2 linked regions of the Diceros bicornis minor genome follow. The main gene of each other region encodes a partner of the protein of the gene in region 2 in a complex. Links are inferred from orthologs where the notes say so. Each region holds a gene or a part of one and is shown on either strand. Other genes may lie near its edges.

The links. Proteins that work in one complex are often made in the same cells at the same time.
Region 1: the proteins of TUBB4B (region 2) and CFAP107 are in contact, whole or in part, in a cryo-EM structure (PDB 9CPB), measured with the Bos taurus proteins. The link is inferred for Diceros bicornis minor from reciprocal best matches to the Homo sapiens genes TUBB4B and CFAP107. Residues at the interface, in NP_001029835.1 of Bos taurus: Lys19, Glu22, Asp26, Tyr36, Asp39, Ser40, Asp41, Leu42, Gln43, Leu44, Glu45, Glu53, Gly56, Gly57, Tyr59, Pro80, Leu215, Leu217, Thr219, Thr221, Tyr222, Gly223, Asp224, His227, Leu228, Ala231, Gly244, Gln245, Phe270, Pro272; in NP_001033296.1 of Bos taurus: Thr74, Val75, Glu76, Gly77, Leu78, Tyr80, Lys81, Leu83, Ile84, Thr85, His86, His87, Gln88, Glu89, Gln92, Arg93, Tyr94, Leu95, Ile96, Ser97, Thr98, Asp101, His102, Pro133, Pro138, Thr139, Asn140, Tyr141, Leu143, Tyr144.

The regions. Positions count from the first base shown.
Region 1 is NC_080752.1:31,704,665-31,712,384, forward strand, and holds the start of CFAP107 (cilia- and flagella-associated protein 107), read left to right. Parts: upstream 1-4,620; coding exon 4,621-4,734; intron 4,735-7,720. UniProt on the Homo sapiens protein: Microtubule inner protein (MIP) part of the dynein-decorated doublet microtubules (DMTs) in cilia axoneme, which is required for motile cilia beating.
Region 2 is NC_080767.1:43,763,700-43,771,666, reverse strand, and holds TUBB4B (tubulin beta-4B chain), read right to left. Parts: upstream 2,996-7,967; 5' UTR 2,942-2,995; coding exon 2,885-2,941; intron 2,571-2,884; coding exon 2,462-2,570; intron 2,381-2,461; coding exon 2,270-2,380; intron 1,759-2,269; coding exon 698-1,758; 3' UTR 549-697; downstream 1-548. Other genes in the region: CIMIP2A (protein FAM166A), read left to right, coding at 1-37, 460-548; SLC34A3 (sodium-dependent phosphate transport protein 2C), read right to left, coding at 7,182-7,646. UniProt on the Homo sapiens protein: Tubulin is the major constituent of microtubules, a cylinder consisting of laterally associated linear protofilaments composed of alpha- and beta-tubulin heterodimers.

The DNA of each region.
Region 1 (7,720 bases), on a different chromosome or scaffold from region 2:
ATAAGTTGGGTCACAGAACAGGGTAGATGACACAGGTCCCCCTGGCAACTTCAAGAAAATGTCCGTGCAATGACAAGGTACTCTGTAAAGCACACACAGTCCCCAAGCCAGCGGAACCTCCCCCCTAGGTGTTGTTCTGGCTCCAAGAGACCCAAAGCTTAGCTAAAGCTGTTCATGTGCATATCAGATGAGGTTTTCTCTTTTGTCTTGTTCTATGTCTTGAGAGCTTGGCTTTGTGACCTTTCTGGTCTCTGCCATCTGGAGGTTGCATGTACTGGCATGCATCTTGGCAGCCAGTCATGTAGACTGGGGATCCAGGACACACTCTCTTTGTCCAGCTGTGTCAGCTCTCAGGGGAGTTCGTCATAAGGGATCTCAATTGCTTTCATAAGGAGCCTTTGTTGTCTCAACTTTCATTGCTTGTTGTGAAACGAAGCCATTTTCTTTCTTAGACTATTTTTGGGAGTGAACTTTCTGGATCTTGTGAGGGCTGCTTTTGCACTCTCTTTTGGGGATGCCTGTTGTGTCCATGGTTAAGCTGTAAAAGTCTTATTGGTATGAGTCGCTGCTAAGATCCTACTCATCAATGTGGCCAGACAATGGATCGCTGAAATTGGGAAAACTTCTAAATTAGAAAAAAAAAAAATTTTTGAGAGCTCTTGTCATAATTGTTTTATTGGTACCTGTGAAAGGCCAAATTGTGTATACAGATAGAAAAAGAGTTTGGTGTTATCCAGCAAAGTTGAAGAAACACATACCCTATGACCCAGCAATTTCACTCCTAGGTATATATCCTAGAGCAGAGGTTTCTGAAGTGTGATCCACAGACCCCTGGAGATCCCCCAGTCCCTTTCAGGGGGCCTGCAAGGTCAAAACTATTTTCTTAACAATACTGAGATATTATTTGCCCTCTTTCACAGTGTTGAAATTTGCACTGATGATGCAAAAGCAATGGTGGGTAAACCTGCTGGTTGCTGTGCGTGAATCAAGGCAGTGCCACTAAATGTACTAGTAGCTGTGGTATTCTGCACTGCCACACACTCGCAGTAACAATAATGCTAGTTTCACTTAAAAGTGTCCTTGATGAAGAAGTGAAAATTATTAATTTTATTAAATCTTGACCTTTGAGCAGATGTCTTTTTGACATGGTGTGTGATGAAATGGGAAGGGAGTGTGGTAAAGCTCTGCTGTTGGATACCCAAGGGTGATGGTTCTCTTGAGAAAGAGCACTGTGTGCCATTGTTTGAGTTGTGAGCAGAATTAGCTAAGCTTTTTAAAAAATGAAACACCATTTTTACTTGAAAGAACAAGTGGCAGACAAACCACGATTATTCAAATTAGAATATTTAGAAGACGTTTTCTTGAAAATGAATGAAGTCTGTCACTTCAAGGAAAACAACGGACAGTGGTTGTGCCAATGACAAAATTTTGAGCTTTCAAGCTAAAATTAGAATTTTGGAAAACTCATATCTGCCTCTGTGAGCTCCACTTCCTAACACTTAAATGCTTCTCTGATGAGATCAGTAGTGATATTAGCAAATGTGATTTTTTTGATATTGTGTAATGAAATATGTGTACATTTGGAAGACGTGAACAACTCAGTATATTAATATTTTCCAAATGACCACTATGATGTTACAGAACCATGAATGGGCGACAGAGCTATTGAAAGAACAAGATCAATCTGTAGATTTTTTTTTTTTTTTTTTTTTTGTGAGGAGGACCAGCCTTGAGCTAACATCCAATGCCAATCCTCCTCTTTTTTGCTGAGGAAGACTGGCCCTGGGCTGACATCCGTGCCCATCTTCCTCTACTTCATATGGGACGCCGCCACAGCATGGCCTGACAAGCGGTGCGTTGGTGCGCGCCCGGGATCCGAACCGGCGAACCCCGGGCCGCCGCAGCGGAGCGCGCGCACCCAACCGCTTGCGCCACCGGGCCGGCCCCAATCTGTAGATTTTAATGTAGCAGAGCTCAAAGAGTTCACTGAATAGTTTCAGAGTCCACATTGCAACTAACCTTTAAGAAACTACCATTTGTTGAGTTTTGGTGTAGTATCAAAGAATATCCACAATTAGCTGCAAAGACTATTAAAATACTTCTCTGTCTTCTAATTACACATCTTTGTGAGACTGGATTTTCTCCTTTAAACAGAACAACATATCACAACAGGTTGAATGAAGAAGCAGATATGAGCATCCAGCTATCTTTTATTAGGCCTGACATTAAAGAGATTTGCAAAAACAAAACTCTTCTCACTAAGTTTTTTGTTTTGGAAATAGAGTTAATGTCCATAAAAATTTAATTATGTTAACATGCAATGAGTTTGCTATTTTAAAATTAATAAATATTAATTAATATATTAACAAATTTAAATTTATATTTAATTAATTAAAATTTGTTTGGAAAATAGAATTACGTGTGATAAAAATTTAATTACATTAACAGGCAATGAGCTTGTTGTTATTATGAAATTAATAAATATATTAATATCAATAATTACTAATAAATATTCAAAAATTTTCCACTTTTAATTTCTAATATGATAAATATTGATGGATATAACCAGTGGTATGCTGATAAACTGACTCTCTTAAAAAAAAAAAAAAACGCTGATACATAGCATTTGCCAATTCTGTGGCATAAATATTCCCACCATGGCTGATTTCAAGCTACCGTGACTTTACAGAGTGTGAGGTTGGGAAGAGATCAAAGCAAAATTGGCTCTCCTCATGAGTTGGTATGACTCCAGTTGGCTCCAGCACCACTAATATAATCCACATTCAAAAGCTCTTTGGGGCCTCAATAATTTTTAAGAGATTAGAAAGCTTGAGAACCACTGCCCTAGAGACATGGCTATCTGGGCACCAGGAGACATAAACCATGCACAAAAAATCCTAGCAACTATGGCTATACATAACGCGAGTGAATCTTAAAAACATTAACTATTTTGAGGAGAAGAAACCAGACTCAGATGAATACATACTACAGGATTCCATTTATACCACTAACAAGCAAAACTAAGCAGTCGTGTTTAGGAACGCACATCCTTTTGTGCAGAGCATTTACAGAAGAGCAAGAAAGTGATGGCTCCGGAAGTCAGGTTGAGTGGGAGGACACAAGTGGGGCACTCCGGGGGGGCTGGCAATGTTCTGCTTCTTGACCTACATGCTGGTTTTGGGGGCTTTTGCTTTACCATAATTCATTTATCAGGACAATTATTTTTAATGTACTTTTTCACGTTTGTGTTGTATTTTATAAAAAAAGGTTTTTAAAAAGTGAAATTATACAGAACACGTGGATCCCCTGCTCTTTGATTGGAAAGCCACCCCCTCTTCCTGGCGCTAGCCCTGCCTAGACTCTGTCCCTGCCAAATAGACGCTTGCTCTGCTCTGTGGTACATCTATGTCCTTTTCCTGCCACGTGCTTAGTTTCAAGATGGAGCCAATAATTTTCTTAGAGTTGGTCTATTTTTATTTGTAGGTAATTGGAAAACACTTCCTCTGAATTGCCTACTTGAAATAGAATGTCTTCATTTGTGGCGAGCAAGACTACGTGATTCTGCTTCTTAACCATATATCACAGGCACCTTCCTATGTCAGCACTTTTTAACAGCTACGGAGTATTTCATTATATGGCTGTACCACAATTTATTGAACCAGCCCTCTGTTGATAGATATTTAGGTAGCTCCTGATTTTTTTGCTCGATGAGTAAACAAGATAACGGCCTTTATCCCATTGGACTGAGCTCTGTGGGGATGGAGCCCCTGTCTACTCAGCCATGCACTGCAGCCTCAGCTCAGTGCTCCAGATGTAGCATGTGCTCAATAAAATGATTGTGAAGTGAATGAACGAAGACTAACCAAATGAACTGTTTTGTATCAGTTCGAGCACGAAGATAGGATTCTCAGTGGAAGTCCCGTAGGCAAAGGAGCAGACAGGTAGTGAGTGGAACCCAGTGGTCTAGGCCTGAATCAGAGTGGATTTAAATCCCAGCTCTCCCACATGTGTGACTTTAAGCAGCTACTTAATCTCTCTTTGCTTCAGTGTCCTCACCTGTAAAATGGGTATAATAATGGCACCTGCTTCACAGGGCTGCTGTGAGGATTAAATGAGTAAGTACACGCAAATGTCTCTCTATGGGCTTAGCACATCAGTACTCATTAAGCAGCAGTAGAACGCAATCATCTCAACTCACACTAGTTGTAAAAATGCAGCATGGATGATGCCTTTCAAGGGGTGACAACACGGAAACCACGTCCTTCTGGCCACTGCTTCTGTGGTGGTGGTTGTTGGTTTGATTGGCTTTTGTGGGGTCAATTTTGCTCCTGAAGAATCAGCTGCTCCCATAAGGAGAATATGTATACGCAGAGGCCATCACCATGGAGACAGTCAACAGTAGGGAATCCAAGATCACGTCACCTCTCCCTGGATGCTGAAAGTGGACTCTCAGGACCTTTTTACTCTGTGAGGTTGGCAGGGTGTCATCTTACTACTCACTCAGAAGGGTGGCTGGGAAGAAAAAAAAAGGCATCCCAAACTTAATAGCTTCATAACATCTCCTCAGCCCTGAAATCTTAGACTGTGTCAAGTCAAAGACACTCAGGGCAAATCCTTACCATGCAGTTTTTGACTGCAGTAATTCCACAGTCATTTGCTACTCCAAGCTGGAAGATCGAGACCAAGTATTCAACCAGAGTGCTCATTGGAAACTGGGTGGAAGAGAGGGGAAAGGTAAGGGAAGAGAGAAGATGGGCAGAGGGGCTCAGAGGGAGGACTGGCAGGGAGAGGTACGAGCGGGTCATTACTATTTCTAAATCAAGAGCCATAGATGATTCTATTTTCGGAACGTGGCATTAGGGTCTCTGTGCTCTACATAGGGGAGTTGCATTCAAGCAAGCATCAAGGTCTCCACTATATCCTGAAAACACAATAGCAGAAGTGTCAATATAGTCGTGCCTTGCAGTACTGTTTTCAGTGGGGTGTTTCTAGGCATTTGATGTTCCCTGTCTGTAATCCCTCTACACCTTGATTTGAAGAATGTCTGCTCTCCCTGGCCTGGCCTTCCCCAGAATGTGGCACCTGCTAAGGCAGGCTTGATACTCCCTGCACTGATGTCCATGGATGAAGTGCTGCTCTCTGGCACCTGTTCCACAACCTTGCCCCGTCTGTGCATTTCAAGTTTTTACTTTCAAAACAGAACCAATGGGCTCTTGGTGTTCTCATGTACTTTGAAGGCCATCGCAAAATATTTGCCTGAATTGGCCTACTTGTAATTGAATATCTTCATTTGTGGTGATCAGGACTGAGCCACTTAAATTTCTGCAGAGACACCTAGACATCCTCATGCCTTCTTGGGAAATGGGCAGGGAAAAGAGGGTGAGATAGAATCGGCAGCTTTGATGTACGTGTAGGGAAAGGTGGTGGTAACTTCTGAGAACTGGAAAAGGTGATTTTCATGGAGGACATTAGAATTTACCACTCCTCTGGCCAGATATGCCTTGTGTTAGCCCTAACTACACTTGGCCTTGTTTGGGGAGCAGCTGTGTGTCAGGGAAGTTCCAAGGATAAGAAAGACTAGCTGAGCAATCCCTTCAGGCTCCTGTGGGTGAGGCAGTACTCAGGAATATTATGGGCTGGTTCTACACCCAGAGGAGATTGCATAAAGAGAGCAAAGTTGGAGTGATGTCAGAAAGATGGCAGACTCAGAAGCTCCAGGTTCTCGTTGTCCCAGAAACACTTAAACAACAACTAGCTAAAATAACTATACAGGAGCTCTGGAAAACAGTCAATGGTCTACAGTAACCAATTTAGAAAAAGCCACATTCAAAGTGGTAGGAAATTCCACGTTGTTTTTACTTGCCCTTTCCCGTTCCCTCCCCAGCACAGCATGATGCAGTGTGGGGGAAGCACTGGCCCAGCTCTCAGTTCCCTTCCTTGAACCTAGAGGGAGTGGAGCAACATTCTAACTTGTCTGGGGTCTGCCTGAGGGATTGGTCTCTATTTTGCTTAACTCAGAGCTCATACAGGGAAAAGTGGCATAGTTCATATTTCAGGCTAGGAAAAGCTGTGGAGAGCAGTGGTGATCACAGCTAGTGAAAGCTGCCAGGGGACTACAGGCCTGAAAATGTCTAGGGAAAGAGATTACAGGTAGAGGAATATAACAGTATACCTAAGGCCCTAAGAGGAAGCAAAGGAGAGACTCTTTGGGAAATGAAGGCATTTTAAAGCAGCTATGTATGCAGGGGAAATAAAAAAGCACCCCCACACACACACCCACACACACACACAAGCCAAGGCAAGACGCATGCTCAGAAAATTCCTGAGAAGAACGTAAGCCTTCACACCAGGCTAATTCCATGGCTCAAAACATGCCTTGCTAGTTAGTGGAGATCTTCCCTCGAATGGAGCCCGTCTGCAAAGACTAGGAGAGGTGGCTGTTTTTTCAAATGCCCAATTTTCAACAACAAAAAGTCATAAACCATACAAAGAAACAGGAAAACACAGCCCATTCAGAGGAAGAAAACACAGTGGCAAGCACTATCCCTAAGAAACATAGGCATCAGAAGTACTAGACAAAAACTTTAAAACAACTGTCTTAATATGCTTAAAGAGCTAAAAGAAAATATGGACAAAGAACTAAAGGAAATCAGGAAAATGAAATATGAAAAAAATGAGAATATCAATTAAAAAATATAAATTATAAAAAGGAACCAAAAAAATTATGGAACTGAAAAATACAATAACTAAATTGAAAAGATTTCACTAGAGGCATTCAACAGTGGACTTGAACAGGCAGAAAAAAGAATCAGAGAACTCAAAGACAGATTATTTGAAATTATCAAGTCTGAGTAGCAAAAAGAAAAAAGGAGAAAATTGAACAGAGTCTAAGGACTAATGGGACACCATCAAGCAGACCAATATACACATTATGGGAGAAAAGAGAGAGACAAAGGGGCGGAGAGATTATTTGAAGAAATAATAATCGAAAACTTCCCAAATTTAAAGAAAAGACATGGATGTACAAATTTGAGAAGCTTAATGAATTCCAAGTAGGATAAATTCAAAGAGACCCACATAGAGACACATTATAATCAAACTGTTGAAAGTCAAAGACAAAGAGGGAATCTTGAAAGCAGCAAGAGAAAAATGACTCATCACATACAAAGGAGCCCTTATAAGATTATCAGTAGATTTCTCAGCAGAAACTTTGTAGGCCAGAAGGCAGTACAATGATATGTTTAAAGTGCTCAAAACAAAAAAAACTATCAACTGAGAATACTATAGCCAGCAAAACTGTCTTTTAAAAATGAAGGAGACATTAAAACATCCCCAGATAAACAAAAGTTGAGGAAGTTCACTACCACTAGACCTGCCCTACAAGAAATGCTAAGGGGAGTCCTTGGAGTTGAAATGGAGCAACACTAGACAGTAACTCGAAGCCATATGAAAATATAAAGACCTCTGGTAAGTGTAAATACATGGACAAATATAAAAACCACTACCATTGTAATTTTGATTTATAACTCCACTATTTTCTACCAGATTTAAAAAACAAATGCATAAAAATAATTATAAATCCATGTTAATGGGTACGCAATATGTCAAGATGTAATTTGTGACATCAATAACATAAAGCAGGAGAGCTCAGAGCTGTAAAGGAGTAGAGTTTTCATATATGAGTTAAGTCAAGTTGGTATCAATTAAAATAGATTGTTAT
Region 2 (7,967 bases):
CGAGGCCTGATACCTTTCTATATGGGCTTCGTACCATGTGAGTACACACTGGGGTCCCTGCCCACCTCGTTCAGACACAGTCACAGTGACCAGGCCGCTGTGGGGAGGGGTGGGGCAGCTGAGACCCCTTACCAGTGCTGCACCACTGGCACAGGGCCAGGTGTGTGACCACATTATCCCCAGGGGCTCTTGTGGTAGGACTGCCCACCCTCTACCATTCCCAGCTGTGGACGGGCCTCACTGACCTCTCCTACTACAAGTTGCAGACACAGAGGCCAGCTGTCTCCAGACCATGCTGGCTCTCTGGAGGTTCAGTGGGCAGGAAGCAGGTGCTCAGGGCAGCCCCAAGCTCCTCAGAGGCGTGCATGTTCACAGCCCGTGACCCCCCCAGTGGCCACCTGCAGGCTCACCCTGGGCGCGTGGCAAGCCCAGAGCCCAGTGGCAGCACTGCCCTTGCAGCCATGCAGGACAACTTTGCCCTGACCTTTGGAAACGGTACGCGTAAAGCCTATCAGAAGGAACTGGAGAGGCGAAAGCAGACACTATGAAAACGCTTTAATGGTGGTGTCTGTACAGCACACGACATCAAGACAGGAAGGAAAGTAAGTGGACAAACAAGACATGGCTATCAGGAAACAGGTTGTGAGCGAATAAAGAGTTCACAAGGCTTCTGCGCTCTACTGGGTACCAGACAGCTCTAGGCCACCTCCTCCTCCGCCTCCTCCTCAAACTCGCCCTCCTCCTCGGCCGTGGCGTCCTGGTACTGCTGGTACTCAGACACCAGGTCGTTCATGTTGCTCTCGGCCTCGGTGAACTCCATCTCGTCCATACCCTCGCCCGTGTACCAGTGCAGGAAGGCCTTGCGCCGGAACATGGCCGTGAACTGTTCCGAGATGCGCTTGAACAGCTCCTGGATGGCCGTGCTGTTGCCAATGAAGGTGGCAGACATTTTTAGGCCCCGGGGCGGGATGTCGCAGACAGCTGTTTTCACATTGTTGGGGATCCACTCAACAAAATAGCTGCTGTTCTTGTTTTGCACGTTAAGCATCTGCTCATCCACCTCCTTCATGGACATGCGACCCCTGAACACGGCAGCCACGGTCAGGTAGCGGCCGTGGCGGGGGTCGCAGGCAGCCATCATGTTCTTGGCATCAAACATCTGCTGGGTGAGCTCGGGCACCGTCAGGGCCCGGTACTGCTGGCTCCCCCGGCTGGTCAGGGGGGCAAAACCAGGCATGAAGAAGTGCAGGCGGGGGAAGGGGACCATGTTGACAGCCAGCTTGCGCAGGTCAGCATTGAGCTGACCAGGGAAGCGCAGGCAGGTGGTGACCCCACTCATGGTGGCCGACACCAGGTGATTCAGGTCACCGTATGTGGGGGTGGTCAGCTTTAGGGTTCTGAAGCAGATGTCATAGAGGGCTTCGTTATCAATGCAATAGGTCTCGTCTGTGTTTTCTACGAGCTGGTGGACGGAGAGGGTGGCGTTGTAGGGCTCCACTACAGTGTCCGACACCTTGGGCGACGGCACCACACTAAACGTGTTCATGATCCTGTCTGGGTACTCCTCTCGGATCTTGCTGATCAGGAGGGTACCCATCCCAGACCCAGTCCCCCCACCCAGGGAGTGGGTCAGCTGGAAGCCCTGCAGGCAGTCACAGCTCTCAGCCTCCTTCCTCACGACATCCAGCACCGAGTCGACCAGCTCTGCGCCTTCTGTGTAGTGTCCCTTGGCCCAGTTGTTCCCGGCACCACTCTGACCTGCAACAGAGAGCAGGCGTGTGGTCACCAATGCCAAAATAGCCAATTAACCTGGAGTGAGATGACACACAGAACTCATCCTGCAGGTAGAGCAGAAGGACCCCCAAACTGATACAGCAGCAGCCAGCCTCACTAAAACTTAACAGTCGGCCCGAGATGGCTTAACAATAAGCTAGCCCCTCCCATGGGCAGCTCCTGCCAATTCCCAAGGACAGATGAGCTGTCAGAGCTGCCACCGCCCCTAGCTCAGCCATCGCTGCAGGGAGATTACATCTGCCGGCTCCTTCCCTGCGGGCGGACAGCTGGGCCTTCCTCCCAAAGCCGCTTTACCAGAGAAGACTGAGTGACTCGAGGGGGGAGGAGAGTGTCCAGGAGCCCTAGCTGCTGCTCGGGGGACAGGGTGGATCAGAATCTCGACTCTGCGGTTCTGACGGTGGTGACCTTGGACACCTCTTGACCTTTGAGCCATCCTCGCTAACAGGCCGCCGCCCAGCCCCTATCCGCGGCTCACCGAAGACGAAGTTGTCCGGCCTGAAGATCTGCCCGAAGGGCCCGGAGCGCACCGAGTCCATGGTGCCCGGTTCCAGGTCCACGAGCACGGCGCGGGGCACGTACTTGCCACCTGGAGGGCGGGGGGGAGGGCGTCAGCAAGGGAAAGGCCGCGGGCGGCAGGAGTGGTGAGGAAAGGGCGCGGGGGTCTCACCGGTGGCCTCGTTGTAGTACACGTTGATCCGCTCCAGCTGCAGATCGCTGTCCCCGTGGTAGGTGCCGGTAGGGTCGATGCCATGCTCGTCGCTGATCACCTCCCAGAACTGCGATATGCGAGCGGCCGGGCCGGGGCTGAGTCACGCTGGCGGTGTCCGGACCCGGCCCCACCCCGGACGGGCGCGGCCCGGCCCTCCCCCGCCGCAGGGTCCGTCCCCGGGAGCCCGTGCCGCCGCCCCGGCCTCGACCCCCGCCTTGCCCCGGTCCCCACCCCGGCCCCGACTGCCATCGCCGCCCCGGTCCCGACCCCGCGCGGGGCCGCAATGCAGGGGCGCCACCCGCCAGCCCGCTGCCGCCATCTTTCCCGTCGGCCCGCCCCGCCCGGCAACCCCGCGCCGGCCCCCGGCGCCCCGCCGCCCACCTTGGCGCCGATCTGGTTGCCGCACTGGCCTGCCTGCAGGTGCACGATCTCCCTCATGGCGGCGGCGGCGGCGGCGCAGGCGGAAAGACGGACACAAGACACAAGGAGCGGGCGCGCAGAGTGCTACAACCGACGCTCGGCCAGCGCTTATATGCCCGCCGCGACCGCCTCCGCCGGCCTCGTATTGGCCCGCCAGAACGAGGCTGGCAAGCGGCCTCTTTTGATTGGCTATAGCGTCGTCAATCGAGCCGCCTAACGCCCGCCTTCCCAACGCCGTTCGTCCTTTATTGGTCTGCCGCGGTCTCTGCTCTCCCTATCAAAATTCCCCTCCTCGCGCTGCGGTGGTCTGTCCATTGGATGTTTCAAATGATTGATTTGTCCTCTCATTGGCTGGCTCCGGAAAGCACGCCGACAGGCTGGCGCGATTGGCTGCGTGGGGCCAGCGTCCTGGTAACCGCTGCAGTGCCGCGGGGGCGGCAGCGGGGGCGGGCGGGCGCAGTCCCGGGCCGGAGCCTCGGGAGCGCCAGGCGTGCCCGCAGCCCGCGGTGGGCGAGCGATGCCCGGGGACCGCCCCCGTGCGGCTCTCGAGGGCGGCCGCCGCGGAACGAGCGCGCGCGTGGTCTGGCCTCGCCGCCCGCGGGGTCTCGGAGCCCGCAGAGATAGACAGGGCTCTGGGCCCGGGGGGGGATGGGGCCGTGGTCGCCTGCGTCCCCCCGGTCCCCGCGCCGCTCCCGGCGCGGTCAGGTGAGGGAGCACGTGGCGCGGCGCCCCGGCCCGGCGCGGAGAGCGGGGCGGGCGAGGAGGGAGGGGGCCTGCCCGCGGTCACGCTTGTTGTGGAGACGCGCTGGCCCCGCGCCCGTCGCCGTGGTGCCTCGGCCCCGGGGGCGCACAGAGCTGCGTGGAGACGCGGGCGGGCCCCGACCTCCGGGCTCACCGGCCCTGTTACCCCAACCGCGAATCTACGTGCCTGAGCTGACAAATGCTTCTTTTTCCTGATTTTTGTTTGCGGGGAAAAAAACTAATGCAGGAAAACAGTGAAATTACATGTGTTCACACCTTTAGTCAATCGCCTTAAAAACAGTACACTTGTGCTATATTTTCGTAACATTTTTAAAAAGAATAATTGCATTCTTGCGTCTGCCCAGACGGTCTCCCTTGCCGCAACCACTGTGGCCTCTCCAGATTCTGGTTTTCTCGGTGAACTTCTTGCCCACCTTTGCCGCCACCCCGAGGGTGTTGGGGGCGATACCTGGTTGTTTATTTCTCTCTCTGTAGAGGGAATGTGCGCGCTCCCTTGTGCACCACGTAATACCCAGTGCCAAGGCACTATGGCGTACTGCTGTGTTACAGCACATCATGGTATACACAACTGAAACTGTTAGTCTGGGTGAAATTGTTGGGACAGCGGCAGGCTGGCAGAGAAACTAGCCTTCCCATCCCCTGGAGAGTGGTCTGCAGTTGCGCTCCTGGGATTGCAGTCCTGGCCTGGAGAGTGAGTCAGCATGGCAAAGTGCCATCCGTCCTGACAGGGCCTAGGAGACCAGCCCCCTCCCCACAGTCTGGTCCAAGGAGGCAGACCTCGCTTGTGTTGACCACAGGCCACGCAGGTAGGGTGCACAGAGTCACTGCCTGCGTCCTGGGTCCGCGCACTGCCCTGGAAAGTCGCTTAGCTGCCCAAGCAGCAGCTGGCAAGGCTGAGGCACTGCAGCAGGAGGCTGTTGCCACCTCCTAGCATTGAGTTGTCACAAACCCACAAGTTAGGGAGAAAGCAGCTCTGATTTTTCTCCGGTGAGCCAGTGAGCGGTGCAAAGCTCTGCTGGGGTTCTTTGAGGTTTGTCAAAGTCCCCCTTCACGCCCCCACCCCCAGCCATGTGGCCTGAGACCCCCACTGGAAAAGGCCCCTGCTTCCTGTGAGTGCCCACAGGGTTGGGAGTTCAGTAACTTTACAGGTAACAAAATAGAGGTGGTGTCGTTTTCCCAGGTGTGAGCCCCCAAGCTCTCTCTCTGGCAACAGGTAGTCTGCCGTAACCCCTCCCATTACCCCTTTGAGGTGGACACTAGCTGAGAACAAGACAGCAGGAGCCTCCCTCGGGCCTGCGCTGGGCTGGTGGGAGGAGGCCCTGTGGGTCCCCACCCTCAGCCAAGGGTGTTCCTGCCTGGGCCCAGTGGGTGTCTGTGGCTGGCAGGATGCAGAGCAGGGGAGGCCAGACGCACAGGGAAGCCCAGGCAGGGGCCGTGGGAGTGCTGGGCACCTGGCCCTCCCACCCCAGCCTGCAGCTGTTGGAAGGAGGCGTCCACAACAGTGGCTCTGTTTACTGGTGGCCATGGTCCCAGCGGGAGGGTGTGTTACCGCCAGGCAGTGGCAGCAGGCAGACAGTCGTTCGTGGCCTCAAAGGACCTGGTGGTCAGCCTTTGTGGGCGGCCTCACCCGCCCCCGGCAGGAGAGGTGCACAGGGTACTTTCTTCCCCTCTCACTGCATCCCTATTGTCGGGTGGGGGTGGGGTGGCAGGGCATGTCCCCAGGGAACTAGCCAGGCCCAGCTCCTCCTCAGAGACTTCCATCAGAGGGACCGTGAAGCTGATGTCAGATCCGCAGGAGTGTACTGAGGTCACAGAAGTGGGGGGAACCCAAGAGGGGGTGCATGAACCTGCCTCAGGGGTCTTGCTCTCACCAGGCCTCTCATAGCTCCCAGGACAGGTGGCCACGTCCCTCAGTGGACAGGGGAAACCCCAGGCTCAGGAGGCCCAGGAGCTTGTTGGGGGAAGCGGACCTGGGAGGTGCTGAGAGGGGCTGGGAGTCCCGGGTGGGGGGGGAGACTGAGAAGGTGGGGGACACGGGGAGCTGAGGGGACTGAGGATAGGGGACATGGGGCGGGGGACTGAGAGGGGATGGGGGGCTGAGAGAACTGAAAGGATAGGGGACATGGGGCGGGGGACTGAGAGGGGATGGGGGGCTGAGAGAACTGAAAGGGTGGGAGACATGGGGGGGACTGGGGACTGAGAGGATGGGGGGCCTGGTGGGGGCACTGCTGAGGGGACCAGAGGGTGAGTAAAAGGACAGGACCATGGGCGAGAGCTGGCCCTGGGGCTCCCTGGCCTCATCGGACCATCACATTCTGCCCCCCTGGGTCTGGCTAGGCAAGCCTGGGGCGGAGGGGCGGGGGGCGCCGCTGGGATGGAAGGTGCGCCCCCTTCAGGGCAGCATTCCTGGCCCGGAAGGAGGTGACCGGCCATAGCAGCAGACTCTCTAAAAAACGGGGCAACTCAGCCACCTGACCAGGGGCAGCCCGTCCACCGCCGGTCTGTGCCAGTGGCCTCTCTCAGGGCGGCGTTCGGGAGGAGCAGTTCACCAAAGATTGCTTTTTCTGTCGGTCGCATGGGGAGTGGGGCTGGAGTTGTGGGCAGCACCGGACTGGGGGGGCCGGAGGCCCAGGCCGTTTCCTTGGTGTTCGGTTACCGGCCGGCCGCAGACCAGCCCTCCTGTATAGAAACCCGCTGCGCTGCCACAGGTGGGGCAGGGGCCAGGGTGCGTGGGAGCCTGGGGTGGGTCCAGCGCTCAGCCCCAGAGGCCTTTGCACTGGCAGAGAGGGGGCTCGCCTATGGGCTCCAGGTGCGGCGGCGCCAGGGGGCGTGGGCAGGACCCACTTCCTGGGACGTGTTGGGGGCTGAGCACCTGCTCTGCCAGGGCCCTGCAGGTGGTGCCCCTGCGGCCACAAGGCACAGGCTGGGGTGCCCCGGAAACCTGAGTGTGGGCTCTCCCACCCCCTGCAGCCCTGCGGCCCCCAGCCTCCTGGTGCACATCCTTGGGGCGGTGGTGTGTGGGAGCCGGCCACCCTTGCCTCTTGCACCCTCAGGGAAGGGCCCGGCAGCGTCCAGCCTTCTCCGACCCCGGCTTCTTGCTGCGAGAAGTCTCCATGCTCTGGACTGGCCGCTATTTGGCAACTTCTGTCCCTGACGGCCGTGGAGAGAAACGGAAATACAGTCTGGGGCTGGGGGTCAGCTCTGTGCCCACACCCACTGGGCAGCCAGCTCCCACGCAGGCTCACCATGGCCCCCGAGTGTCCGCCAGGGGGCAGCCTCGCGCTGCCCCACCACCAGCTCCCCTTGGAGCTCGGCCGGGGGCCGTCCCCGGGCAGCCCTGTCGGGAAGTGAAGATCACCCACACGGGTCACAGCCTCTCGTTTATTTGCAAAGAAGATGATCCAGGTGACTCAGAAGTTTGCTGCTACTGGGATCCCCCAGGGCACCCAGAGGTCAGCGGGGTGAGGGTTGTGGGGGGCCCTGGGGGGCCCACCCCTCACAACTGCTGGGAGGCCAGCACCTCGGGGTTCTCATGGCAGTGGGCCTCCTTGCTGGCGGCCCGAGGGGGGCTGCGGGCCCTGCAGGGGCAGCAGCGGCTCACCAGGTGGTCCCAGGGCTCCAGAGAATGGAGCCACAGGGGGAGCCAGGCCCAGGACCGCAGGCAGTGGGGCAGCCAGACTGGCCGGTGCCGCTGCAGGACATTGACCAGGACGATGAGGAGCACCAGCCCCACTAGGGGCCCCCCGACTGCGGCCAGCACTGTGCCACCCGCCAGGGAGAGCCCAAAGGTGGCCAGTGGCAGCAGCAGGAAGGTGAACAGCAGGTAGGCTATGGCCACCCAGCGGTAGTGGGCGGTCAGGTCCCCGAAGCGCTTGGCCAGCGGGATGGGCAGCCGCAAGATGGGCACCACGTACCACAGCAGGATGCCGCCCAGGTTGAAGAAGAAGTGGATGAGGGCAACCTGGAGGGCGGGAGGGCAGGCAGGGGCAGGAGTCTGGGCCCAATGGCATGGGGTCCGTTGGGCTCCCCAGGACGCCTGCCCTGCCCCTGCCCCGGCAGAAATGGTGCTAAGATCAAAGCTTGTCTGGGGTCCTGCTCATTGGCTGAGAATGGCCACCTGGGAGGGCAGATTCCAGCCAGGCGTGAGCACACTCCTCCTGCTGCCCCCCAACACCTTGGGAGTCAGGAGCCCAGTCTGGCATCCCAATGTGGTAACTGCGCTGCTGGTGGCTGCGTGGATCTGACCCTCCCCTGGGCTGGCTTAACTTGCTCATGCCTCGTG